Linked DNA regions of Oryctolagus cuniculus. Each later gene encodes a partner of the first gene's protein in a complex. Links are inferred from orthologs where the notes say so. Each region holds a gene or a part of one and is shown in the gene's direction. Other genes may lie near its edges.

Region 1 (4,050 bases):
AACTTTTTATTGAAATGTATATGCTGGGGCCAGTGCCATGGTGCAGTAGGTTAATCTTCTGCCTGCACTGCTGGTATCCCATATGGGCGCTGGTTCATGTCCCAGCTGCTCCTCTTCCAACCCAGCTCTCTGCTATGGTCTGGGCAAGCAGTAGAGGATGGCCCAAATCCTTGAGCCCCTGCACCTGCATGGGAGACCAGGAAGAAGCACCTGGCTCCTGGCTTCAGATGGGTACAGCTCCGGCTGTTGTGGCCATTTGGGGAGTGAACCAACGGAAGGAAGACCTTTCTCTCTGCCTTTCCCTCTCATTGTCTGTAACTTTACCTCTCAAATAAAGAAATAAAAATCTTAAATGTATATGTATGTATATATATATATATATATATATATATATATATATATATGCTGAGGCCAGTGCTATGACTCACAGGGTTAAAGCCCCGGCCTGCAGTGCTAACATCCCATATGGGTGCTGGTTCCAGTGCCCAAGTCTTCTGATCCAGCTCTCTGCTAATGCACCTGGGAAAGCAGTGGAAGATGGCCCATGTACTTGGGCCCCTGCACCCACGTGGGAGACCCAACAGAAGTTCCCGGCTCCTGGCTCTGGATCAGCTCAGCTTAGCTCTGGCCATTGCAGCCAACTGGGGAGTGAACCAGATGGAAGACTTCGTTCTCTGTCTCTATCTCTTTCAAATAAAAAAATAAATCTTTAAAATATTTATATGTATGCTGTAACGTTCACAAAATTATTTAAGCATGCAACTCGATTTGTAAGAACTGCCAAAAAAAAAAAAAAAAAAAAAAGGAAGTAACCACTATCCACATCAAAATGCAAAACATTAGCAGTATCTTGGAAGCATCCTTCGGGCAAACGACGCGTGCTTTAGTGCTAAGAACATGGCTTTGAGTCGTGACACTTAAGACTTCTTGTGTGTGACTTCAGCAAGTTATTTAACCTCTCTGGGTTGTAGTTAAGCCACTTCTAAAGACTGTTGAATTAAAGGCTTCCATATAATAACGAAGATCGTCTATCACAGTGCCTGAATATAACTGGCCTGCAATAAACAGTAATTATGGTCAGGCAAATATAGAGGCGGTCACCAACTCCCACTTCCTGCCGGCCTTTCGCTCATTTTTTGAAAGTTGCTCTCGCTCCCAGCCCTTTTCTCCTTCTCTCTCGCTCCTCCTACTGCCGTAAATAGCCGACCAGAGCTGTCGTGAAATGCTCCTCCCCGCCCTCCATGTGGCGAAAACGCAATCACGCTTGACGGCGCGAGGTGGCTCAGCCGCAAGATGGCGGCGCTGGCGGAGGAGCAGACGGAGGTGGCGGTCAAGCTAGAGTCTGAGGGACCACCGACGCTGCTACCTCCGCAGGCGGGTGACGGCACAGGCGAGGGCACCGTCGGCATTACCAACAACGGCCCCAACGGCAGTGGCGGGAACGTTGCGGCGGCGTCGTCGGCCGGCGGGGATGGCGGGACCCCCAAGCCCGCGGTGGCTGTCTCCGCTGCTGCCCCGGCGGGGGCGGCTCCGGTACCTGCCGCTGCCTCGGAGGCTGGTGCTCCCCACGACCGACAGACTCTGCTGGCGGTGCTGCAGTTTCTACGGCAGAGCAACCTCCGCGAGGCCGAAGAGGCGCTGCGCCGCGAGGCCCGGCTGCTGGAAGAGGCAGTAGCGGGCTCCGGAGCCCCGGGAGAGGTGGACGGCGCCGGCGCTGAGGCGGCTAGCTCGCTTCTCAGCCGGGTCACCGCCTCGGCCCCCGGCCCGGCGGCCCCCGACCCTCCGGGCACCGGCGCTTCGGGGGCGACGGTTGTCTCCGGCTCAGCCTCAGGTCCTGCGGCTCCGGGGAAAGGTGAGCCGGGGGGTCCCGGGGAAGCCGGGCCGGCGCGAAGGGGAGCTAGCCGGGAAGGCGAGGGCTGGCAGGCCTGCACCTCTGCGGGCTTGTTTTGAATTTCCTGGGCCCGCCTCTAGGGCCACATGCCCGCCCCTTTCCCGAGTGCGCCGGCTGCGCAGTCAACCCTCGTCTGAGCTGTCAGTTGCAGCGAGAGGCTGAACAGAGCTGTGGATCTGAGCTGTGTGGGGAAGGTGGGCGCGGGGAGGCGGGGACCTCCAGGCTTCGGCCCCTTTTCTCCCGTTTGGGCTTTTAAGCTTTGGGCAAGTCTGCATTGACAGCGACAGTCTTTGTGGAATTCTGTACTGGCGTATTTTAAGCTGTAAATACTTGGCAGTCTCGGTTCTCACAGTTTCATTGAGGCGGACATGACCTCTATTTTGGAGACAAGGAAACAGATTTCTTGAGCGATCCCAAGGAGCTTGCCTTGGGTCTCGGTAGCCAGGGAGTGATGGAACATGGTGTACCCAGCATTTCTCAAAATACGGGCTAGGCACCAGCAGTGCTGTGTCTTCGGGGCATCATTTCAGACGGAGGGAATCAGACCCTTAGAGGTAGAGTCTGGGAACCTGCGTTTTTGAGTTGGTGCTTCCAAGAAGTATGGATGGGTCGTGAAGTTTGAGAACTCTAAGTTTTAGGAGCCATAAGGTGGACAGACCTCTTTGTCTCTGCTGCTTTTACTTGTGTGATGTTGATTGACTCATTTTTTCCTAAGGTTACTTTTTTTTTTTTCTATTAACTGAGTTTTTATGAGACTCAGATGTAATATCTGTAAAATGCCTTGTGCTGATAGGCTCTTTCCTCTCCATCCCTGACACCCGAGACCACACCTTTCTTCCAGTAAATGTCATAAGTCTTTGCAGTACAATTCATACACAATGTAAGATCTTGAAGGTGATCCTGAACCAACAATAAATATTCATTGAATTAAATTATATGTTGCAGAGCCTCTAGCCAAATTAATCTGTATTTATGTGACCTAATCTTTGCAGCATTGCCAGAAGTGAAGTTTGAATACATAGTGTTGTATTTCATAGATAGAAATGCCCAAAATGTGGTTGGGAGGAATTTCTTCTTAATATTGAATTTTGTGAATGAACTATAAAATGAGTTATATTGTTGGTTATTTTACTGTCATCTCTTGATTCTGAAACTAAATCAGTTTTTAGATCATAATTGAGAAGTCAGTAAGGAGGAAAAGAGGCCATTAGAGTAACCCAAAGAATTACATTTATGCCATAGAAAGCGTAACTGTATTATTATTGCAATTTAAATTTCCACTTACCCAAAGTAATTTGATTGACAGATGTAACTTTGATATTCCTATATTAGAAATAGATACTCTGGGCCGGCGATGCGGCTCAGTAGGCTAATCCTCTGCCTGCGGCGCCGGCACCCTGGGTTCTAGTCCCAGTTGGGGTGCTGGATTCTGTCCCGGTTGTTCCTCTTCCAGGCCAGCTCTCTGCTGTGGCCCAGGAAGGCAGTGGAGGATGCACCTGCATGGGAGACCAGGAGGAAGCACCTGGCTCCTGGCTTTGGATCGGTGCAACGTTCCAGCCGTAGTGGCCACTTAGGGGGTGAACCAACGGAAAAAGGAAGACCTTTCTCTCACTCTCACTGTCTAACTCTGTCTGTCAAAAAAAATAAAAGAAAAAAGAAAAAGAAATAGATACTTTGTCTTCTTCCTTGAAATAGTGGTTATGGAAATTGCTTTAAGCATATACAATTGAGTTAGTTTTAGGTGTGGGGCAGTGCCAACATCCCATATGGACACGGGTTCAAGTCCTGGCTGCTCCACTTCAGTCCAGCTTTCTTCTGTGGCCTGAGAAAGCAGTAGAAGCTGGCCCAGATCCTCAGGCCTTGGAAGAAGCTCCTGGCTCCTGGCTTCGGCTCAGACCATCTGTGGTTGTTGCAGCCATTTGGGGAGTGAACCAGTGGATGGAAGACCTCTCTCTCTCTCTCTCTCTGCCTCTGCTTTCAAATAATAAATAAATAAATATATTTTAAAAAATTAGGTGTGGCCCTTCCCATTCTAAAAATGCCTACATTTTACTTTTAATATTTATTATTACTTTTAATTATTAAATTATTAAATATTATTAATTTTAATATTTATTTGAAAGGCAGAGTTACAGAGAGAGGGAGAGAGAGAGGTCTTC
Region 2 (4,124 bases), on another chromosome or scaffold:
CCGGCGGTAGCTGCATTTGCCGCTGCACCCTCTGCTCCATGCGGTAACCACCCAGTCCCGGGTTGCCGTACTCCCACTGCCGCTGGCCGGTCACCGTCAGGTTCTGCCCAGTCACCTGCACCACCAGCTCCTCGGGGGCGAAGCCCTGCGCGTCCATCTTCATTTGGAAATCGTCTGCGGCCCGGCCATGGTCCTGCACAGCGGCCGGGTGGTCCCTCAGCAGCTGCACCGGCAGTGTGGCCACCTGATTGCGTTCAGCGAGGGCCACACTGGGACTCCTCGACGCCACCTGGTTCCCGTTGGAGAAACTGCTGCCGACCCGCTGCATCCAAGTGAGCAACTGCTCTTCAGGGGCACGAGGCTCCGAACGCAAGGCCCGAGCTCGGCCAGGCGTGTGGACTCCAAGGAAACGGGAGCGGGGTCCTCACGAGGCCCCGCGCGGCTCCCCCGGGTCGGGTTGGGTCGGGTCGGGTCAGGCGGGGGCAGCTCATTCCCTTTGACTTCCGCAAACTTCGGCTGGGTCCGGGGTCAGCTCTGCCCGTCCTGCCTCCAGGAGCGGGCTGTCAGTTGCTCAGGAGCACCCGCTATACTTTTACCCTGGCCCTGCCCTTTCTCCACCACGGCACAATGGAGCCACTGAAGAGGCTGGACGCCGGGAGCAGACACTCGGCAGCCACCGACCGGCCAGGGGCAGGGAAGCCCATTGCTGGCAGAGACAGCGGGCGGGGTCCTCCAGGTCCTCCATCGCGGCGTGCCCTGCTTCTCCCTGAGCACACGCACGAGGGAGGCGGGCACATCCCTCCCTGTCCTCGGGGTCTGGGGCCACAAAGATGATGGCGCGGGCATCCCGCGTCCCAGTGGTTTTCCTTGTCGCTGCTGCGACCACAGCCGCGCCCCTGGAACTCTGTGTTTTGATACTAAATTCTCTCCGTTGAAGGATAACAAAGTGCACAACGCAGTACAGGTGGATGGTACACAGCGCACGCCCGGGGTAGCCACCGAAGCTCAGAGCTTCGGCCACGTCTCAGCCCCTGTGCGGCTGCAGCCCCGCGTCTGGGCCTCACGGGATGGGGCCTCGGCCCCCGTGGGGGGCGCCTATTTCCTGGGATGCACCTCCCTGTCCCTAAGACGGCAGCAACCGGAGCCGTCCCGGACGCCTTCCAGATAAATTGGGAGCCAGGAAGTCTGGGGTGCTAGCTGGGGCTCCCCTTGGCTGCCTGGTACCAAGAGAAAGGACGGAAAAGTCTGGAAGCTGGAGGCCAGGGGCGCGGCGGTGGAAGACTACAACTCCCGTCGTGCGTCGGGCCTGTGGCGCCTGCGCACTGCGCACCGGTTGCCCATGCGGCCCTAGGGCTGGGAGCGCGGCGCCGCTCCGCTGCGGGGGAGGCCATGGCGGAACCTTCTCAGGCCCCGGCCCCAGTCCCGGCTGCGCAGCCCCGGCCCCTTCAGTCCCCAGCCCCTACCCCAACTCCTACTCCTGCGCCCAGCCCTGCTTCAGCCCCGACTCCGGCTCCCACTCCGGCACCAGCCCCCGCCCCGGCTGCAGCCCCAGCCGGGAGCACAGGGACTGGAGGGCCCGGGGTAGGAAGTGGGGGAACCGGCAGCGGGGGGGATCCGGCGCGACCTGGCCTGAGCCAGCAGCAGCGCGCCAGCCAGAGGAAGGCGCAAGTCCGGGGACTGCCGCGCGCCAAGAAGCTTGAGAAGCTAGGGGTCTTCTCCGCTTGCAAGGTGGGGGCGGGGCCTAGGGTGAAAGGGGCGGGGCTTGAGGGCATCCCTGGGCTCGGGTGGGAATGGGGGGCGACGCTCTGGACGCTTAGCGGCCCCTGCCCCTGGGGTGCGGGGGTCGTTGACTTATCTCCTGCCTCCAGGCCAATGAAACCTGCAAATGTAATGGCTGGAAAAACCCCAAGCCCCCTACTGCTCCCCGCATGGACCTGCAGCAGCCTGCTGCCAACCTGAGCGAGCTGTGCCGCAGCTGTGAGCACCCCTTGGGTAAGGCAGGCAGCGCCCTTGCAGGTGGTGGGCGCCAGGTGCTGGGGCCTGCTTGGACAGCCTGATTTCGCTGCCAGGAAACCTCGTCTCAGGACCTTAGGAGGTGTGGGGTTGGGGGCAGGCAGGCCGAGAGGGAGGAGAAAGGGAAAGTGCCAGCCGGGAAGATGCGGGGCCACCTTTGGAAGTCTTGGCTCCCTGCCGAGCAGGGCGTCCATGCCTCCCCACCCCGCGGCCCGGGCTGGCTGTCTTGCAGCTGACCACGTGTCCCACCTGGAGAATGTGTCAGAGGATGAGATCAACCGGCTGCTGGGGATGGTGGTGGATGTGGAGAATCTGTTCATGTCGGTGCACAAGGAGGAGGACACGGACACCAAACAGGTCTACTTCTACCTCTTCAAGGTGAGCTTCCGCGAACGGGCGTGAGTGGGGGGCAGGGGGGCTCTCAGTTCTGATGCTCCCTCCCTCCCTCCCTCCCTCTTCCTGCAGCTCCTGCGCAAATGCATCCTGCAGATGACCCGGCCTGTGGTGGAGGGGTCCCTGGGCAGCCCCCCGTTTGAGAAGCCTAATATTGAGCAGGTGGGGTGGGGCACGGGGAGCTGGGTCCTCCCTCCTGCTCTAGCTGAAAATCAGAGGGGATCAGCCGGGGGCGTGTGTTCTGTGCTGACTGCAGAGTGGGGTGGAGGAGGGGGGGCACTTTGTCACGAAGCTGGCTTCTTAGCCCTCCTCCCTGGATTTGTTCCCCACCCCACCCCTTCCCAGGGTGTGCTGAACTTCGTGCAGTACAAGTTTAGCCACCTGGCTCCCCGGGAGCGACAGACCATGTTCGAACTCTCCAAGATGTTCCTGCTTTGCCTTAACTACTGGAAGCTGGAGACGCCCGCCCAGTTCCGGCAAAGGTCCCAGTCGGAGGATGTGGCTACCTACAAGGTCAATTACACCAGGTAGGCCCTGCCCGGGCGGGGGCTGGGGGGGGATTTGTAGACCTCCCCATGTGCTCTCACCCTGCTGTCCCCACCCCCAGGTGGCTGTGTTACTGTCACGTGCCCCAGAGCTGCGACAGCCTGCCTCGCTACGAGACCACTCACGTGTTCGGGCGAAGCCTCCTCCGGTCCATTTTCACTGTTACCCGGCGGCAGCTGCTGGAGAAGTTCCGAGTGGAGAAAGACAAGCTGGTGCCGGAGAAGAGGACCCTCATCCTCACCCACTTCCCCAAGTAAGGCTCGTTCCGGCCCACTGCGAGTTTGCCCCAAGTTCACGTCCTCCCTGTTGTCCCCTTTTTTCCAGGAAGCCTTCCTGGATTGGTCCCTCCTCTCCCTCCATGGGCCTTCTGGGATCTGGGCGTCTACCTGGCAGACTTGCCCATGGCCCAGAAGCAGCTTGCTAGTAGTTGCCTTTGCACGGCCTAGTCTGGGGATGGCAGGTACATGGCCCCGGCTAACGCTGCCCCTCCCACACCCTGCTAGGCGTTACTAATTGTTTCCCATGGGGGCCTGGACCCAGCCTCAGAATCCCTCCCACCACAGAGCTCCAAGAAGCCAGCGCTGACACCTGAGGTGACAGCAGTGTCCGCCCCGCGCTAGTCCTTTCTGTGCCAGTGTCCCCCCGTGTGCCACACCTCTCTCCCATCTTAAGCCTGGCTCGTGACTTCTCTGTTCAGAGAGCCTTGGCTGTCAAATCCGGGCCCCTGAGTGCCCCTGCCACCAGGTGGGAACAGGAGGTGGTGAGTTGGGGTGGATTCCTAGTCATCTTGATGCTGCGGGGAGCAGGGGGACCCAGGGGGACGTGGTGCCCTGCCTGGCTACGGGGTTGGTATTTAGCTCGGGCCCTGTGGCCCTGTGCTGCCCGAGATGGCCAAACTGGGCCCCTTTGCTTGGTGTGTCCGAAGCTCTCACCTTGCATTCGAGGCTCCCGGGAGCCAGGGGGCCGTGCCTGCCCCTGTGGCCAGGGCTTCCCGCAGGGCAGAGCTTGCTCTCAGACGCGCCTCGCAGGGTCTGTCTCTGGCCACGGCACAGCCGCAGCCCCCCGGGGGCCCGGCCCAGGCCGCCTTTGGCGGGAGGGCGGAGTCGTGGACAGACGGCGCCCTCCCCCCAGGTTCCTGTCCATGCTGGAGGAGGAGATCTACGGGGCCAACT
Region 3 (3,500 bases), on another chromosome or scaffold:
CAGGATTCAAACTGGCGCCCATATGGGATGCTGGCACCACAGGCGGTGGCTTTACCTGTTACGCCATAGCACCAGCCCGCTCCCCTTTTATTTTCCTGCTACTATGTTGGTGAGGCAGTTTGACACTTTTTGGGGTCTTAGATGTATTTGAGAATGTAACGAAAACTGTAGACCTTCTCCAGAAAATACACAGAATGTCGCATGTAACACTGAGGGTCACAAGGACATCATGAGCTCTTCAGTCTCTGTGGGCTCCCAGGATTTTGGTGTTGCGGGAAAGCATTGGCCTGGGTTTCAGGAAACCCTGGCTGTGATCTTGGCTCATCTACTCATGAGATCTGTGATCTTGGGCAAGTCATTTAACTTGTTTGGGTATGTCAGTTTCTTATCTTTAATATAGGAAAAATAGCTGTTTTGTGTTTCCCAAAGGCTTTTTTGTAAATTACTAAGTGTAACCTTTGTCTGTAAATACTTAGAAGTAAAAAGTAAACTGATGGAGGTAAAGCCCCACCTGCAGTGCTGGCATCCCATATGGGCACCAGTTTGAATCCTGGCTGCTCCACTTCCGATCCAGCTCTCTGCTATGGCCTGGGAAAGCAGTAGAAGATGGCCCACATGCTTGGACCCCTGCACCTGTGTGGGAGACCGGGAAGAAGCTCCTGGCTCCTGGCTTCAGATCAGCTCAGCTCTGGCCATTACAACCAGTTGAGGGTAAACCAGCAAGTAGAAAATTTTCTCTCTCTCTACCTCTCCTTCTCTCTCTGTGTAACTCTGACTTTCAGATAAATAAATAAATCTTTAAAAAAAAAAGTAAACATATATTTGGTAAATTTTGTTGGTTTACCCTTTTGCAAGAGCAAGTGATCAACCTTTTTGAATATTATTCCAATAATCATGATTGTGGCCAATACTTCAGTGTTTCCTGTGTGCCTATCATTGTGTTATCATCTAACCTGGAATGTATCCATTTCAATTGAGATGGGATGCTATCTATATGCTAGGATAATAGGGTTTTTTTTAAAGATTTATTTATTTATTTGAAAGTCAGAGTTACACAGAGAGAGAAGAGGAGAGGCAGAGAGAAAGAGAAGTCTTCCATCCGATGGTTCCCTCTCCCATTGGCCACAACATCCGGAGCTGTGCCTATCCGAAGCCAGGAGCCAGGAGCTTCTTCCGGGTCTTCCACACTCATGCAGGGGCCCAAGGACTTGGGCCATCTTCTACTGCTTTCCCAGGCCATAGCAGAGAGCTGGATGGGAAGTTGGGCAGCCGGGTCTCGAACCGGCGCCCATATGGGATGCTGGTGCTTCAGGCCAGGGCGTTAACCCGCTGCACCACAGTGCCAGCCCCAGGATAATAGTTTAAGCAGAGAAGTATGTTCACTCTGTTTATCTCCCTTATTCTTTCTAATGTTCTCAGATCATTATTATCTGCTAGATATGTTTGAAAGGTTAAGCAACTTTCTCAAGTTCTTGCATGTAATAAGCAGCAGTGGGATTCCAAATTGTAAGCTCTTATTTACTGTTAAAGAAGAAAGTGGGGGCTGGCGCTGTGGCGCAGTGGGTTAACGCCCTGGCCTGAAGCGCCGGCATCCCATATGGGCGCCAGTTGGAGACCCCGCTGCTCTACTTCCCATCCAGCTCTCTGCTGTGGCCTGGGAAAGCAGCAAATGGCCCAAGTCCTTGGGCCCCTGCACCAGCGTGGGAGACCCGGAAGAAGCTCTAGGCTCCTGGCTTTGGATTGGTGCAGCTCCGGCCATTGCAGCCAAATGGGGAGTGAACTATCAGATGGAAGACCTCTCTCTCTCTCTCTCTCTCTATGCCTCTCCTCTCTCTGTGTAACTCTGACTTTCAAATAAATCTTTTAAAAAAAAGAAGAAAGTGATATTTCTAAGACCTTTCTGGTCAAGTTTAGTGATCCTGTTATCCCTGGAGGGGTGTCTGTCTTTATACCTCCTACCTGTTCCACCAGGCATGTTTCACAGACATGCAATACCAGCCAGTCTAACCTGGCATTTGCCTTGCTTTCCACAGGGCGCCATGACTCCTGGGATCCCCATCTTTAGTCCCATGATGCCTTACGGCACAGGACTGACACCGCAGCCTATTCAGAACACCAATAGTCTGTCTATCTTGGAAGAACAACAAAGGCAGCAGCAGCAGCAGCAACAGCAGCAGCAGCAGCAGCAGCAGCAACAACAACAACAACAGGCTGTGGCAGCCGCTGCGGCTGCGGTTCAGCAGTCTACATCCCAGCAGGCGGCGCAGGGGGTCTCAGGCCAGACACCACAGCTCTTCCATTCACAGACTCTTACAACCGCACCCTTGCCGGGCACCACTCCCCTCTACCCTTCCCCCATGACCCCCATGACCCCTATTACTCCTGCCACACCGGCCTCGGAGAGCTCTGGGATTGTACCACAGCTGCAGTGAGTACCATAGCCAGTGTTGTGGGTCTGCTGTCCCTCGCCCTGGAGCAGGGGTGGGGCATGTCCAGCACCAGGGCTGTGTAAGGCCTGTGAGGTGATCTGCTCAGGGCCTGCCAAGGCAGCCTCAGGCACAACTCAAAATTCATTACATCTATAGTAGGCTGATTTTTAAGGTGATAATTTTGTATGACCTGTAAATGATGTTATAAATGCCCAAATGGCCCTTGGCAGAAAAAAGGTTCCCCACCCCTGCCCTAGAAGGTTCTCTTAGAGCTAAATTACTGTTTGTTGTTTCCAGATGGATCCATTTATTTAACAGAGTGGCACTAATGGTAATTGTGTCTCAAAATTTGCTTCACCTCTGCTTAAGAAAGCTGCCTTCCCTTTTTTCAAAAAAAAAGTTTTGTTTTGTTTCTTGTGTTTTTCTTTTTAAGATTTTACTGGGCCAGCGCTGTGGCTCAATAGGCTAATCCTCCGCCTTGTGGCGCCAGCACACCAGGTTCTAGTCCCGGTCGGGGCGCTGATTCTGTCCCGGTTGTCCCTCTTCCAGGCCAGCTCTCTGCTGTGGCCCGGGAGTGCAGTGGAGAATGGCCCAAGTCCTTGGGCCCTGCACCCGCATGGGAGACCAGGATAAGCACCTGGCTCCTGCCATCGGATCAGTGCGGCGCGCTGGCCGTGGCGGCCATTGGAGGGTGAACCAACGGCAAAGGAAGACCTTTCTCTCTCTCTCTCTCTCTCTCTCTCTCACTGTCCACTCTGCCTGTCAAAAAAAAAAAAAAAAAAAGATTTATTTGTTTGAGATGTAGAATTACAGAGAGGGAGAGACAAAGAGAAAGGTCTCTTCCTTTTCTTCATCCACTGGTTTACTCCCCAAATAGCCGCAAGGCTGGAGCTGGGCTGATCTGAAGCCAGGAGCCAGGAACTTATTCTGGGTCTCCCACACGGGTACGGTGGGCTAGCACTTGGGCCATCTTCCACTGCTTTCCCAGACCATAAACAGAGCTGGATCAGAAGAGGAACAGCCAGGACAAGAAATGGCACCCAAATGGGATGCCAGTGCCACGGGTGGAAG
Region 4 (4,135 bases), on another chromosome or scaffold:
CCTCTTATCTTTTGCTCTGTTTCACCCTGGATTGTAAACTCACAAGGATATTGTCTTTCTTACCCACCAGTACATACAGCAAAAGTCGTGGCACACAGATTCAACAAACTTAAGATTTCATTTGAAAAGCAGAGTTAGAGAAGGAGAGAGAGGGATCTTTCATCCGCTGCTTCACCCCCACATGGCTGCAGCAGCGGGGCTGGGCCAGGCCAAAGCCAGGAGCCTGGAACTCCATCTGGCATTTGGCTCTCCCATGCGGGTGCAGGGCCCCAAGGAGAGCAGCATCTTTTGCTGCTTTCTCAGGCACACTAGTAGGGATCTGGATTATTAGTGGAGCAGCTGGGACTAGAACCAGCGCCACGGGCGGCTTAACCTGTTGAGCCACGTCAGCCTCATTTGCTGAATGAACATACATTCAAACTGGGCCTTGAAAAGATGTACAGTTCAACAACAAAAACTGATATGCCAGACCCTAAAAAGAATGAATGTAGCAGACAGGGAAACAACGCGAGGCAGACAGCCGAAAGCCTAATGTGACGAAGCTCTTACTGTAAACCCAGCGGCAGTGTAGTGGGATGAGGGTGGGAGACAGGAAGACAAAGAGGGCAGGTTGCTGCACCGGTCTTGGCAGCCCTTCCTGCCACAGCCCTGTGTGTGTGTATGCACGCGCACGCACGCGTCTTACTCTGAACCCACGGATGCCGGAACCAGGTCTTGCTTACAAACTTACAACTAGCAAAAATACAGCAGTTCTCATAAAGTATTTGGCAGAGGAAAGAACTGAAGGCATCCAAGCTTGAGGGAGTTCTGAGTTCAAGTTAAGGCTCTGACCTTATCAGCCAGACCCCGGCTTAATCTCTCACGGGCTCCCTCTAGATAATTAAATGACATATGGGAGGTAGGGGCTTAGCACTGTTTGCTAGCGGAAAATAAGCGCTTCACTGCAAATTCACAGGCAGAACCGGTCTGTCGTCTCCAGGTTACTGTGTTGCCAACTCCTCGGCAAGAGTCCAAAAAAATACACACAGCATGCTGCAGTCCCAGGTGACACCCCCGTCCTGATGCCACGACAAAGGCATTAACCAAAAATGGCGACCTCACAGCCATCCAAGGGCATCAGTTATCGATGATGCTACCGGGTGATACAAACAGTGTCTGGAAGCAACACCTAGGGCAGGGTTCGAAACGCCAGGGCAGAAGACACAGCGTTCGCCCACGCTGCCAGACAACCGCACGCGGGAAAAACGGCGGCCACCGAAGCTGAGCTCCAGCCCTGCACCGCGACCGCATGTCGGAGGACGGTGTGCGCCTGCGCAAGCCAGGCGCGCGCCCGCCGGCCGGAAGAGCCGCGCGTTTCCGGGTTGGAGGCGGGGAGCGGTGCCGGAAGTACTCGGGGAGGGCCGCGCAGTCGGACCGGCTGCTGAGACGAACGCTTCACTGGGGCAGTCTCCGCATATCATGGGGAGATAGACGCTGCTGCCTGTGAGTGTTGGGCCCTGGCAGTAGAGGAAGAAGAGCGGGAGGAGGGAGTCAGGACCCAGACCCACAGTGGGTCACTGTTTGAAGGACCAGGCTGTGGAGGAGACGGGGCTGTGAGGAATCCGGCTCCTGGGACGGGACTAAGGGGATCGCGCTCGGAGGAGACGCGGCTGTGAGGGTCCGGGCTGCCGACGGGACTTAGGAGACGGGGACGGATGCGAGTTCCCTGGCACCTAAGGGAGAGAGGTTTGAGAGGGACAGGGTTGTGAGGACCCGCGCTCCTGAGAGGAGAAAGGGTCGGAACGGAGTGGCGCGTGAAGACACGGGCTCCGGCGAGGTGAAAGTGGAGTAGTGAGGACTCGGGCTCCTAGGAGGCAGGAGCGGGACCGTGAAGACCCGGGGTGGGCTGCGAAGACTTAGCTTCCTGAGGGGCCGAAGCTGGCGGAGAAGACTTGGGGCTTCTGTGGGCACGCGATCCGGGCTTTGAGACTCCAAGTTTCGGAAGGAACGGGGCTGTGAGGATCCGAGTTCCTTAAAAGCGGAGAATCGAAGCGGCTGTGGGTGTAAGCGATCAGCCTTCAAGGGAAAGAGAGAGGACTGGGGAAAGAGAGTGATCCGTTTGCAAGTAGTCTCTGACCCAGAGTGCTAAAGGATACAGGGATGGATATATGTATTCTGTATACATTTCTATTTTCAGGGGAGGAGGAGTCCTCCTTCGCGCTGCCTGCTTGGCTTTTGGCAGGCTTGTGTGTGTCAGATACTTAATCTTGGAAGCCCACATAGAAGCATCTTCATTTTCTGCTTCATTCTTGCGAATCGGATGTGAAGTTGAAAACACTTTGAACCCAGTTGTATACTTGATAAGTGCTTTAAATTTCTTTCCACTAAACCCTGACGGAGCACAGAGCTCTGTATCTCAAATAAAAGAATATCAGAGATGGAAGAGCCCCAAAAGACCATCTCTTTCCAACGCCTAGTTTACATTTAAGGGACCCGAAGTCCAAAGAGGGATTAGAGTCACAGTGAGACAGTGGTTACTTAGAGCATAATTTTGATCAAGTATCCTGTGGACGGTAAATAGGAGACGCTTGGTTAATGTTCCTTGGAAAGTGCTTCTAGAATCTTTGTTCTCTCTTCAGACTCAGGAGGAAGATTCTGATAGATTCTAATGCTTTATTTTGAGTCTTAGTGTGTTGACATTGAAACAGTGAATGTCACCAGTAAGAAAACTTTTAAATGAAACCTAATGTTATTTATTTATTTTAAAATAAGCTATCTAGAAAATTGTGCCCTACATTTATAGCAAAAATATTTACTAGGAATGGCTGTGTTTGTTTATTTTAAAGATTTATTTATTTGAAAGAGTTACAGAAAGGGAGAGAGAGAGAGAGAGAGATCTTCCATCTACTGGTTCACTCCCCAAATGGCCATAACTGCCAAGGCCGGACCCGGCAGAAGCCAGGAGCCCAGAGCTCCCTCTGGATTTCCCAAATGAGTGGCAGAGGCCCAAGCACTTTGGCCATCTTCTCCTGTTTTCCTAGGCGCATTAGCAGGGAGCTGGATTGGCAGTGGAGCAGCTGGGACTTGAACCAGCATTCATAATGGATGTTGGCTTTGCAGGTGACAAGTTAACCCACTGCACCACAAGGGATGGCTGTTTTTAAATAAGGATGGTGTGGAGACTTGACCAGTTACTTCTCCTTTTTAATAATAGTATTTTTTTTTCTTTTACTGAAACCTACTCAGACTAACCAGGTACCATTTAAGCACTTTTCACCTACTGTGTCACTTAATTATTACAGCCCCACAAATTAGATATTGTTAGTCCCATTGTACAGATAAAGAACTAGGTTCAGAGAGGTTAAGCATTTTGCCTGAAATTGAATAGGACTGAATGAGCCAGCCCCAATTCTGTGTGTCTCTACAGCTTCTACTTTTCTAAATGGATTCTTCATGTCTTGATTTGCCCATCAACAAAACAGAAGTAATAGTGATACAAGCATATTATTGAATGAAAGCACTTTCCTTAAAAAAAAAAAAAAAAACTTATTCATTTATAAGCCAGAGTGACAGAAAGAGATCTTCCGTCTGCTAGTTCACTCCCCAAATAGCTGCAGTGGCCAGTGCTGGGCCAGGCAGAAGCCAGGAGCCAGTAACTCCATCCCAGTCTCCCATATGGGAGACAGAGGCCTATCTTCCTCTGTTTGTCAGGTGCATTAGCAGGGAGCTGGATCAGAAATGGATAGACCAGAGCTCAAACTTGCACTCTGCTATGGGATTTCTGCATTGTAAGTGTGACTTAACTCATTATGCCACAAACTCCAACACCTTCCTTCTAAATTTTGTTAATATCAAGGACTATATTGTGCTCGCTCTGGCAGCACATATACTAAAATTGGAATGATAGAGATTAGCATGGCCCCTGTGCAAGGATGACACACAAATTCATGAAGCATTCCATATTTTTAAAAATATTAACATAAAAAAAGGACTATAACTGATTTGGGTACATATGTAGTATAATATTCAAGGAGAACTAAAATGTGTTTTCACAGAAGCATAGATATTCAAGATAGAAAAAACTTATTCCTGAGTTAACATTCTCATCTGCATATTTAAAATGTTCTCTTTCACTTCATTTGTGGTCCAGCATTGG
Region 5 (3,500 bases), on another chromosome or scaffold:
GGAAACCTGTTGTGACTTCAGTTAGCTCTGGGCTAGGAGTCGGCTGTGCAGGCGATCGCTCCGGCATCCAAGGTCACCTTCCTCTCTGTTTATCTCCCCACGGGTTGGGCTTCGTCCCTGGAGCAACTGAATCGTAGCCCCAACTGCTTGCCTCTCCCAGATCTCCATCCTTCCTAACTCACGTCCCTGACTTCTCAAGAGGGTCGAGACCATGTCGCGTGCTCCAGTCTCGCTTTCCCCTCCGGGCCAGTGCCTGCCTGGGCCGTGTCTCGCCTGCGGCAGAGGTGGGAACCATGGACGGAAGGCAGCGTCCAGGCTTGGGGTCGCTCAGTGAAAGGGTCAGTTCCTGTGGCGGGCAGAGTCTCTTTCCTCATGCCGCTGGTGTTCTGCTTTATTTCGGCTTTTGCTCAAAGGATGATTCTGGAGCTGAGAAGGAAAACGCGTCTGTGCTGCAGCAGGCCCCCTCCTTGCCGGGCAGCCGGAACGGGGAGGAGAATGTCATCGACAACCCCTACCTGCGCCCTGTGAAGAAGCCCAAGATCCGCAGGAAGAAGTGAGTCAGAGCCGGGGCAGGACAGGCTGCTCTGCTCGCCCAGGGCGGCCTTTCTGCTCTCGGCGGGAGAGAGCTCACCTTGGGAGCAGCTCTGTGCTGAGAGGAAACCTCCCCCGCCCTCTCCCCGCTCAGCTCCCCTGTGTGCCTCTTGTTCCTGAGCGGTTGCGTGTCCGTAGCCTGCGGGCCACCCTCGCACCCGGGCCCCAGCCTCCCCTAGGAGGAGAGCAGGTCGGGAGGGGGGCACCCACCAGGCAGGCTCCATGGTTATTCTTCTTTCTAGGTCCCTCTCGTGAGCTGAGAAGGAAGCCTGGCTTGGACAGGGATGGGGACGCCACCCTCATGGCCGAGGCTGTGATGGGCATGGGTGTGACGGCAACCTGGGAGGTTTGGGTGAGAAAACACCGACGCAGTCCTGAGGCCTCTCAGTCAGCTGGCCACGCAGCAGCCTCCTGCCTGCAGCCTCAGCCAGGGACTTCGCTTGTGACCGTGGGACTCAATTCCTTTGCAAGCCCAGGGAAGGCGACAGGGAGAAGGGCACACGTTGCTGCCTTGTGTCCTGCCAGGAGGCCTGTATCCCTACTGTTGAATCACACCTGGGACAATGGTTGATCATCCCGGAATCTTGTTGAGTTCTCGCCTCAGCTGGGCCCCGGGTACCCTCGTGCACCGATGGGAAGTGACTCTGCAGCCCTTGATCGTGTTGGAAATGGGCAGCGCACGCGGCACGGCTTTGACCGGAGGCAGGCAGGATTCGGAAGCCATGAGCAGACAGGTGAACGTGGAGCAAGGTGGCACGGGGGGCAGCACTGCGGCTGCACGTCGCTCCCGAGAGACTCATCACTGGCTCTCCCTCCACGGAAGGTGTGCTTAGGACCTGCCGCCTGCCCCCCGCTTGGGAAAAGAGGTTTGCCTGACAGAAGCCTAGTCTGTGTCTGAGCTGCGACTTGTAGTACAGCCATCGAGTCACACAGGAAAGGGGCAGGCAGGGTGGGGGTGGGACTGAGGGCTGGACCTGGCCCTTGTGTTCTGGAAGCCGAGAAAGCAGCTGCTCTGCCCGAAGCCGTGTTCCTACTGCCAGCAGAAGTGGGCGGACAGGAGCCTGCCGGCCCAGCCCAGGTGGTCTCCAGGTCTCAGTCTGTTCGGTCTCATCACCTCCTGGGGACAAGATTGCATTCTTAGTGAACTTTGCGAGCCAGAAACTTTTTTTTTTTTAAGACTGGACCTGCGTCATGTCACAGCAAGTTAAGCTGACACCTGCAATGCTGGCATCCCATGTGTGCGCTGGTTCGTGTCTCAGCTGCTCCGCTTCTAATCCAGCTTCGTGCTAATGCAGCAGAAAAGCAGCAGAAGATGGCCCAAGTATTTGGGCACCTGCCACCCCATGGGAGACTCCAGTAGAGTTCCCGGCTCCTGGCTTTGGCCTGGCCCAGTCCCAGCTGTTGGTACAGCTATTTGGGGAATGAACCAGTGGATGGAAGATTTCATTGTAACTCTGCCTTTCAAATCAGTAAACCTTAAAAAAACAAAGCAAAAAACCTTATTTATTTGAATGGCAGAATGACAAGGACACACACAGAGAGATACCATCCACTGGTTCACTTCCCAAATGCCCACAGCAGTCAGGGCTGGGCCAAGCCAAAGCCAGGAGCCAAGAACTCCACCCTGGTCTCCTACGTGGCAGGGCAGGAAGGCAAGGACTTGGGCCGTCATATGCTATCTTCCCAGGTACATTAGCAGGAAGCCAGATTGGAAGTGCTGAGGTACTGGGACTCGGACTAGGCCCTGTGATGGCAGCATCCGATGCTGTGACTTAACCAGATGCGCCAGCATGCCTGTCCCCAGAGAACAGATTTTTAAAGAAGATATAGAGCGCGCAGGTATCTTTAGATCTCAGAAGGAAAAGATCTTCAAACCAAACCAAGGAAGAGAAACTCCAGTGCCACCTGGAGATTCACACGGGAAGGACGTGTTGTTCCCTGGGCCAGACTCTTACAGTCCTTAGTTAACTTCTCACACCCCCCACTGGACTCCCAAAAACTGTGCAGACCTGGCTGCAGGCCCCGTGTCCTTAGGGCACTGTGCCCTGCCTCCCGGAAGGAGGACCTGCTCGTGAGGAACTGGAGAAGAGACACCACCGAGACAGCTGGATCTCCCAACCCTGGACCGCGTAGGAGCTTCCAGGTTCACAGCGACCGGAGACCCCTGCTGAAAGCAGTCAGGCCAGGCTCAGTGGACCCCTCGGGGTTGGTCTGCCGCTCAGCAGTTCTGGGCGCAGTGGGTTGAAGCACAGTCCCAGATTGGAGGCGTGGCGGATCCGGCTTGCTGTCCTCACTGCCCTCAGGAGCTGTCGCCCGGGTCGTTTCTGCAGTTCCCCGTTCATCCTGTGCCGTTGCCATCCCAGCCAGGCACCTGCAGGGTTAAGTGGGAGGCGGGAGAGGGTTGCCACAATTGCTGTAATTCCATTCTGGAGGGAGGCACCGGGAGGTGGCCAGGCGACGTGAGGCATTGACCCGACTGCTGCTGTTGTATGCGAGTTGCATAAGTCTCGATGCATATTTATAAATTTCTATTTTTTTAATAACTTTGGGGGTGGTCTTGGCCAGAAACAGTAGTAAACAGCCCGTTTAAAAATGTGACTTATGAAAATCCTATAATAAAAACTTTGTAAATAAACAGTGCTGTAAACTTTACACGTGATTTGTCTTTGGAAGTTATGGCCCTGTACAAGGCTATGGACAGAAAAGGAAGGCATAGCCCTTCTGTAATTTTAAGTACCCCTGGGAACTTAGTAAAACTTCAGTTTGAGAAATTTTCCAACACAAAGTCAGACAGGAGATTATCTGAAGCCATCCGTACCCCTCACCCGGCTTTAATACTTAGCAGTGTCCCATCAATTCTGTTTCAACTGTTTCTCCCATTTTTTCTCTTCCTGGAATATTTTGGTTTT
Region 6 (3,932 bases), on another chromosome or scaffold:
GACAGAGAGAAAGGTCTTCCTTTGCCGTTGGTTCACCCTCCAATGGCCGCCGCGGCCGGCGCGCTGCGACCGGCGCACCGCACCGGTCCGATGGCAGGAGCCAGGAGCCAGGTGCTTTTCCTGGTCTCCCATGGGGTGCAGGGCCCAAGCACCTGGGCCATCCTCCACTGCACTCCCTGGCCACAGCAGAGAGCTGGCCTGGAAGAGGGGCAACCGGGACAGAATCCGGCGCCCCGACCGGGACTAGAACCCGGTGTGCCGGCGCCGCAAGGCGGAGGATTAGCCTAGTGAGCCGCGGCGCCGGCCTATTAATATGTTTTTAACACGTAAATTCTCAGGCATGACAACACAGGAGGTATAATAACAATGTGGTTGCTTGTACCTAGATGTAAATTTACCTCGAATGTAGGAACTACAAATGTAGGCAGATTCCAGGTGAGCACTATTTAAATTACAAGCGATATTGCCTTTGGTGGCAGTATTTCCTCTTAATAAGTTCCAAACAAAGCAAAATGCAACAGATCACCAATTTTGAAGAAGTAACAGTCACAGGAAATCCAATGTTCATTAAAAGCATGGGAAAAATAGTTTATATAAAATAATATTTTCAGTCATTGAATGTTCAGCAGGACATAGAGAAATCGTGTGTATTATTGGACTTTTTTATCGTGTGGCATCATCCCTTAGGTTGCAGGATATTTTATGTCAACTCCAGCCTCTTACTGCGTGTTCTCATTGTTAAAACCCAAATTCTTCTCCAGAAAATTTTAAATCGTCTCTAAGGATAGCGCCCCCTTGAGAACTAGTAGTGAAATATAGTACCCCACAATAATTAACAAAGTGCTTGGGATCAATAGTGCAGGCGTAACTCATTGCACTTTAAAATACACCCCTCAGAGCAAGACCGCGGGATCGCCCTCCTACGCTCCAGGTCAGGAAAGGTGGATTCAACACGCACAAGGAGATGTAGGGTGATAAGAGGATACACACTGCCTGGTGCATTTCTTTCAGTTTGCTAAATTTTAGTTCCTTCCTCGGGATTACAGAACCCAGAGCTCACGCTGCTACCCTACAGACCGTCTCTCTCAGCGGTCGCTAGGCAGCTCCCCCTCCCAGGCGTGTTTGCGGGGACCCGGCCCCGCCCCCTACGTCACCGGAAGTGACGCAACGGAAGTAGTAAAAACCCGCTGAGAGCGAGCCGGCGCGGCACAGTAGGTTGTCGGGCTAGTGTAATGGCAGATGAGGAAGAAGATCCCACCGTGAGTGACCGCCTTTGTCCCAATCCTCCCTTTCGCTCAGGCTTAGTGACGGAAGCAGAGTTCAGAATGGGGTGTTTTCCTTAGTGAATTCAGTCGAGAGAGTTCGGGGACCAGTTGTGCTTGTCTTTTCCTTCAGCTTCATGGTTTTAGTACTCCGGGGCAGGACGTGAAGTAGTGGGAAGGTAGCCCCTTTCCCTTCGGATTCGGGCTGAATCTGCTAGACACTTTGTGAAACTAGACGATCGTCAGAGCTAATCACTCGTATTTGTTGGTGCTCGTTAAATGAACCAACAATCTAGCTGCTAACAGAATTGGATATTTATTGTGAAGTGTTGGAGAAATAACGGACCACAAATCAGAAGCCTGGATTTCAAAATCTCCATTCTCACCGAACAAGTTATTTAACTTTCAGCATCGGTTGTTCTTGATATAAAATAAGGTTAAAACAGATAAGGAAAGGTTTTAGCACTGTATAAGCAGGTGCTTAGTTAAAATTTTTCCTTTTTTGCTGCAGGGAGGTAGGCTTTGATTCAGTATCGGTCCTTGAATGGCAACACTGGCTAGCAGTAGACCAACTTAGTTGGTTTTAAACAAAAAGAACTTGCGGCTGTTAAAAGGCTTACGTGTCTAGGCAGGATTGTTGTGGACAGTGTAGAAACCATTTTTGCGGGAATTGAAATTTTGACTAGGTAGTCTCTAAGGGCTCTTTAGTGCTAAGTTATCATGATTTTTTAGTGCTTGCTTTTAAGCGTTTTGGCCTGATATTAGTGTTAAAAATGAAAGCAAGTTATTAAAATATCAAATGCAATGCAATCACTTGACATTTCTATATATACATTTTAACTTCTAGTTTGAGGAAGAAAATGAAGAAATTGGAGGAGGTGCAGAAGGTGGACAGGGTAAAAGAAAGAGACTCTTTTCTAAAGAATGTAAGTAGTATTTGACAGTGATTTTATTATAGATCATGCAAACTTTTGGACATGTCCTTTGGAATAGATTTATATTCTGAAAATGTTTGCAAGGATAATATTCTCAAAATTGCCAGTAAAGTTCAATTTAATTTTTGCCTTTTTTTAAAAGATTTATTTTTATTTTATTTGAAAGAGTTACAGAGTGAGGCAGAGTCAGAGAGAGAGGTAGGTCTTCCATCCTGTGGTTCACTCCCCAGATGGCCGCAATGGCTGGAGCTGTGCCGATCCGAAGCCAGGAGCCAGGAGCTTCTTCCATGCGGGTGCAGGGGCCCAAGGACTTGTGCCATCTTCTACTACTTTCCCAGGCCATAGCAGAGAGCTGGATCGGAAGAGGAGCAGCCAGGACTAGAACCGGTGCCCATATGGGATGCCAGCGCTTCAGGCCTGAGCTTTAACCTGCTGCGCCACAGCACCAGCCCCTCAGTTTAATTTTTGAATCACAGATACTAACCCCAGTTTAACGTATAATTGTGTTTTAAATTGTACAGAATTTAAGTGAGGGAATATTGTTATGTCTTTCTGTTAGGCTGTCACAAAAACACACCAAACTCCGGAGTAAGGGAAAGGGTTTATTGAGAAAAGCCAGCAGACCGGAAGGGTGAGGTGATGAAGGGAAAAAGGGAGAGGAGAGTATAAGAGAAAGAGACACGGAGAGTAGAGGAGCTAGTGAGGAGAGAAGAGAGACGAGAGGAGCCAAGAGAACAGGAGAGAAGAGCCAAGAGTGCCGCCTGTTCAGGAACAGGCCCTTTTAAACTTTGCCAGAGGGCGGGCAGGGAAACAGGAGCAGCGAATCCCGTTAGGATGGGGGTGGAGCTTGACACTGGTGGTTGGGCCATGTGGCTACATGGCTTTCAGCAATGGCTGTGAGAACCGGGGCATAGGATGTAAATCATGGTGTAGATAGCGCCATGGATAAAACTGCACCAGTTTCCTAACAAATATGATCAGTGTTTCAATTCAGGACAAAACAATATACCTCCACGTTTTCCTGGCCCTTACCTTTGCAACAGTAGAAGCAGGAGTTCTTTTGACTGTGGGCACTGAAACAGGTGCTGAGGGTAGGGGCTAAGTTGAGACTTTGGACTAAGGGCAGTGAACAGGGCAGGAAGGTGAGGAACAATGTGAGACATACAATGGCATGAAGATAATATAATGTGTTAGTGCTTTGTCCCACTCCCTCAGTAGACAGATTTTACCCTTTTTAGACAGCAGCATGAAGAAAGGAGATCTGTTCCTACTGCTGATAGTCCAGGACAACATTTAAAAGTCATCATGAGAATAGCTTTTTATCTCCCAGTACGGATTCCTTTATATCTATATAGCTGGGTATTGAGAGATGAGACAACACAGATTTAAGAATACCTGTTTATTAAGGTTGGGACAGATACGAGCAGTTTACATGTGATGTTAAAACTGCACATCAGTATGTCTTTTTTATTTGAAATTTATTTGAAAGGCAGAGTGACAGAAAAAGACAGAGATCTTCCATCTGATGGTTCGCTCATGCCCACAACAGCTGAGGCTTGGCTAGGCCAGGCGGATGCCAGTTGCCCAGAATGCCATTTGGGTCTCTTACATGGGTGGCAGTGGCCACAGTACCTGAGCCATCACCTGCTGCCTTCCAGAATCACAGCAGCAGGAAGCTGGATTCGAAGTAGAGTAGATGGGAGTCAAACAAGCACTCTGATGTGGAATGTCAGCC
Region 7 (3,500 bases), on another chromosome or scaffold:
TCCTCCTCGTCCTCTCCAACCGAATCCTGTTTATGAACGGCACTCTGCGTCCTGGGTCAGAATCAGGGCCCGGTCTCTGCCCGTGTCTACTGAGGTCTACAACAGCCTGGTCTCTGCCCGTGTCCACGCTGTGGTCTGGATGGCCGGTCTCTCTGCCCGTGTCCACGCTGTGGTCTGCACAGCCGGTCTCTGCCCGTGTCTACACTGTGGCCTGGACGGCCGGTCTCTGCCCGTGTCTACTCTGAGGTCTACAACAGCCTGGTCTCTGCCCGTGTCCACGCTGTGGTCTGGATGGCCGGTCTCTGCCCGTGTCCACGCTGTGGTCTGGACGGCCGGTCTCTGCCCGTGTCCACACTGTGGTCTGGACTGCTGGTCTCTCTGCCTGTGTCCACGCTGTGGTCTGGACGGCTGGTCTCTCTGCTTGTGTCCACGCTGTGGTCTGGACGGCCGGTCTCTGCCCGTGTCCACACTGTGGTCTGGACTGCTGGTCTCTCTGCCTGTGTCCATGCTGTGGTCTGGACGGCCGGTCTCTGCCCGTGTCCACACTGTGGTCTGGACTGCTGGTCTCTCTGCCTGTGTCCACGCTGTGGTCTGGACGGCTGGTCTCTCTGCTTGTGTCCACGCTGTGGTCTGGACGGCCGGTCTCTGCCCGTGTCCACACTGTGGTCTGGACTGCTGGTCTCTCTGCCTGTGTCCATGCTGTGGTCTGGACGGCTGGTCTCTCTACCCGTGTCCACGCTGTGGTCTGCACAGCCGGTCTCTGCCCTTGTCCACGCTGTGGTCTGGATGGCCGGGGTCTCTGCCTGTGTCCACGCTGTGGTCTGGACGGCTGGTCTCTCTACCCGTGTCCACGCTGTGGTCTGCACAGCCGGTCTCTGCCCGTGTCCACGCTGTGGTCTGGACGGCCGGGGTCTCTGCCTGTGTCCATGCTGTGGTCTGGACGGCCGGTCTCTGCCCGTGTCCACGCTGCTGTTGCCAGGGGTCTTGCGTTTTCTGCTGCCCACCCCCCGCCCCGAGTTCCTGAGAGCAGCCGGCTCCGTGTGGTCCAGTTCCTGCCCATCTCGCTTTTCTCCCCTGTTTCCACCAAACTTCCTGTAATTTCTTGAGCAAAATTTTTTTTTTTAAAGATTTAATTTTATTTGAAAGTCAGATTTACACAGAGAGAGAAGGAGAGGCAGAGAGAGAGAGAGAGAGAAAGGTCTTCGGCCACTGGTTCACTCCCCAGTTGGCCACAATGGCCGGAGCTGCACCAGTCCGAAGCCAGGAGCCAGGAGCTTCCACACGGGGGCGGGGGCCAAGGGCCTGGGCCATCTTCCACTGCTTTTCTACACCACAGCAGAGAGCTGGATCGGAAGGGGGGCAGCCAGGACCCCAGCCGGTACCCATAGGGGATGCCGGCACCGCAGGCGGCGGCCTTAGCTGCCACACCACGCACGGCCCCCTGGGCTCTCTCGCTTCCTCTGTGCGCGGCTGGCCCCTCGAGGACCTTGCGGGTGTGGTAGCGTTGTTCCCTCCCGAGAGGCGCCCTGACCCCCAGCTCACTGTGCTGACCTTGAGCGTGGAGCCGTCCCCGCAGAGCTGCCGGTGCTGAGGGGCTTGCTCAGCCCTGAGCGAACGCTCAGACACGGGCAGACGCCTCGTGGCCCCCAGCCGGGGCGCGCTGGTGTGCGGGGGGCGGCCCTGGCCTGGGTGCCCAGGGGTCTGGGCGTGTCGGGAGAGACGTGTGCGGGAGGTCTGCCACCGCGGGGTTTCAGCGTGGCTACGTGTGCGGGAGGTCTGCTCCCGCGGGGTTTCAGCGTGGCTACGTGTGCGGGAGGTCTGCTCACCGCGGGGTTTCAGCCTGGCTTTTCTCTTTCAGGATGGAAAAATCGAAGCAGAAGATTTCACTAGCAGGTTATACCGCGAACTCAACTCCTCACCTCAACCTTACCTTGTGCCTTTCCTGAAGGTAATCAGCAGGGGGCAGTGCGAGGCCCTGCGGGGCGCAGGCGCGGGGTGCTCGCTCAGCCAGGCTTTCCTGCGGCGCGAGCCGACGCTGGCGCGGGCTCTGCGCTGCTTCGGAAGAGGCGGCTTGGGGCGGCTTGGGGCGCCTTGGCCCAGCAGGGCGGGGTCTGCCCAGGGAGGGCCTCTTGTCCCAGCACTGAGTCTACAGTGCTTTTTGTTCTTTAATGAAGAGCTCCCCTTAACTTCTTTTTTTCTTTTTTTTTATTTGAGAGGCAGATGGAGCTCTCGCAGCTGCTGCCTCGCCCACGGCAGCTGTGGCTGGGCCGAGCGGAGCGCAGTCTGGGTCTCCCACGTGGCGGGGCAGAGACCAGGCGTTGGGGTCTTCACCTCCCGTTGTGCCCGCACCCCAGCGTGTGTGCATGAGCAGGGAGCTGGACTGGGAGTGGGGCTGGGGCCTCAGCCGGCCGCTCTGACACCTGCCCGACTCCTACCCTGGTGCTGCTGCTTTTTGGTTCTTGTGTTTTGAACGACTTATTTTATTTACTTTGAAGGACAGAGTTAGGGGACGGGGGTTTGGGGTGGATCTTCCATCTGCTGGTTCACTCCCCAGATGACTGCAATGGCTAAGGCTGGGCTGAGCTGGAGCCAGGAGCTTCCTCCTGGTCTCCGTGTGGGTGCAGGGGCCCAAGCACTGGGCCAACCTCCACTGCCTTCCCAGGCCACAGCAGAGAGTGGACTGGAAGCAGGGCAGGCAGAGTGGGATGCTGGTGCCGCAGGCGGAGGCGCAGCCGACTGCACCACAGCACTGGCCCGTGTCCGGCTGCCGCGCGCGCCGCTCCCTGACCCCTGTGCCTGTCTTTCCGCCCAGAGGAGCTTACCCGCCTTGCGACAGCTGACGCCGGACTCCGCAGCCTTCATCCAGCAGAGCCAGCAGCAGCCGCCTCCCGCCTCGCAGGCCACCACCGCGCTCACGGCCGTGGTTCTGAGCAGCTCCGTGCAGCGCACGGCTGGGAAGACGGCGGCCACCGTGACCAGCACCCTGCAGCCCCCCGTCATCAGCCTCACGCAGCCCACGCAGGTCGGCGTGGGCAAGCAGGCGCAGCCCGCCCCGCTGGTACGAAGTGCAAGGCCCACCTGCCCTGCAGCCAGCTCGGCCGGCTTCTCAGTGAGGGTGGAAGGTGGGGGCCGGGCTGGGGTCTGCTATCGTGCTGCTCGGCAGTGGAGTGAGGGCGTGGGCTCCGCCCCGCTGGCGTGGGCGTGGTCAGCGGTGTTCATGTGTTAAAGGAACCACACATGGTGGTGATGACTCCCGGCAGCCTTCCTCTGTGGTCAGGAGTGATGGCCCTGGACTCGTGGGGCAGGGGCCTGTGGCCATAGTTGTGGGTCCACGTGTTTTGTAGTGTAGGGAGCCGTGGCTGCTGGCACGTGGTTCATCCACGCAGCCCCGGCCCGAGGAAGGATGTGTGGGTGGAGGCAGTAGGCAGAGTGGGCTCACCAGATGCTCATGTAGTTTTTCCGAGGTGTCCAGGGGCCTTCTTCCTCGTGGACTAAAGTGC

The links.
Region 2: TAF5 (region 1) and KAT2A share a complex: the UniProt entries of both Homo sapiens proteins name them as parts of the TFTC-HAT complex. The link is inferred for Oryctolagus cuniculus from reciprocal best matches to the Homo sapiens genes TAF5 and KAT2A.
Region 3: TAF5 (region 1) and TBP share a complex: the UniProt entries of both Homo sapiens proteins name them as parts of the TFIID basal transcription factor complex. The link is inferred for Oryctolagus cuniculus from reciprocal best matches to the Homo sapiens genes TAF5 and TBP.
Region 4: TAF5 (region 1) and TAF12 share a complex: the UniProt entries of both Homo sapiens proteins name them as parts of the TFIID basal transcription factor complex. The link is inferred for Oryctolagus cuniculus from reciprocal best matches to the Homo sapiens genes TAF5 and TAF12.
Region 5: TAF5 (region 1) and TAF8 share a complex: the UniProt entries of both Homo sapiens proteins name them as parts of the TFIID basal transcription factor complex. The link is inferred for Oryctolagus cuniculus from reciprocal best matches to the Homo sapiens genes TAF5 and TAF8.
Region 6: TAF5 (region 1) and TAF13 share a complex: the UniProt entries of both Homo sapiens proteins name them as parts of the TFIID basal transcription factor complex. The link is inferred for Oryctolagus cuniculus from reciprocal best matches to the Homo sapiens genes TAF5 and TAF13.
Region 7: TAF5 (region 1) and TAF4 share a complex: the UniProt entries of both Homo sapiens proteins name them as parts of the TFIID basal transcription factor complex. The link is inferred for Oryctolagus cuniculus from reciprocal best matches to the Homo sapiens genes TAF5 and TAF4.

Annotation. Positions count from the first base shown.
Region 1 is NC_091446.1:26,646,026-26,650,075, reverse strand, and holds the start of TAF5 (transcription initiation factor TFIID subunit 5), read left to right. Parts: upstream 1-1,250; 5' UTR 1,251-1,293; coding exon 1,294-1,852; intron 1,853-4,050. UniProt on the Homo sapiens protein: The TFIID basal transcription factor complex plays a major role in the initiation of RNA polymerase II (Pol II)-dependent transcription.
Region 2 is NC_091448.1:20,670,822-20,674,945, forward strand, and holds the start of KAT2A (histone acetyltransferase KAT2A), read left to right. Parts: upstream 1-1,324; 5' UTR 1,325-1,389; coding exon 1,390-1,728; intron 1,729-1,868; coding exon 1,869-1,992; intron 1,993-2,245; coding exon 2,246-2,391; intron 2,392-2,478; coding exon 2,479-2,568; intron 2,569-2,751; coding exon 2,752-2,933; intron 2,934-3,013; coding exon 3,014-3,205; intron 3,206-4,083; coding exon 4,084-4,124. Other genes in the region: HSPB9 (heat shock protein beta-9), read right to left, coding at 1-328. UniProt on the Homo sapiens protein: Protein lysine acyltransferase that can act as a acetyltransferase, glutaryltransferase, succinyltransferase or malonyltransferase, depending on the context.
Region 3 is NC_091436.1:47,885-51,384, reverse strand, and holds part of TBP (TATA-box-binding protein), read left to right. Parts: intron 1-2,033; coding exon 2,034-2,428; intron 2,429-3,500. UniProt on the Homo sapiens protein: The TFIID basal transcription factor complex plays a major role in the initiation of RNA polymerase II (Pol II)-dependent transcription.
Region 4 is NC_091438.1:143,057,259-143,061,393, forward strand, and holds the start of TAF12 (transcription initiation factor TFIID subunit 12), read left to right. Parts: upstream 1-1,335; 5' UTR 1,336-1,482; intron 1,483-3,844; exon of another isoform or gene 3,845-3,946; intron 3,947-4,135. UniProt on the Homo sapiens protein: The TFIID basal transcription factor complex plays a major role in the initiation of RNA polymerase II (Pol II)-dependent transcription.
Region 5 is NC_091436.1:127,850,257-127,853,756, reverse strand, and holds part of TAF8 (transcription initiation factor TFIID subunit 8), read left to right. Parts: intron 1-413; coding exon 414-553; intron 554-833; coding exon of another isoform or gene 834-846; exon of another isoform or gene 847-3,500. UniProt on the Homo sapiens protein: The TFIID basal transcription factor complex plays a major role in the initiation of RNA polymerase II (Pol II)-dependent transcription.
Region 6 is NC_091438.1:61,355,766-61,359,697, forward strand, and holds the start of TAF13 (transcription initiation factor TFIID subunit 13), read left to right. Parts: upstream 1-1,132; 5' UTR 1,133-1,232; coding exon 1,233-1,259; intron 1,260-2,109; coding exon 2,110-2,188; intron 2,189-3,932. UniProt on the Homo sapiens protein: The TFIID basal transcription factor complex plays a major role in the initiation of RNA polymerase II (Pol II)-dependent transcription.
Region 7 is NC_091442.1:1,310,106-1,313,605, forward strand, and holds part of TAF4 (transcription initiation factor TFIID subunit 4), read left to right. Parts: intron 1-1,858; coding exon 1,859-1,948; intron 1,949-2,812; coding exon 2,813-3,058; intron 3,059-3,500. UniProt on the Homo sapiens protein: The TFIID basal transcription factor complex plays a major role in the initiation of RNA polymerase II (Pol II)-dependent transcription.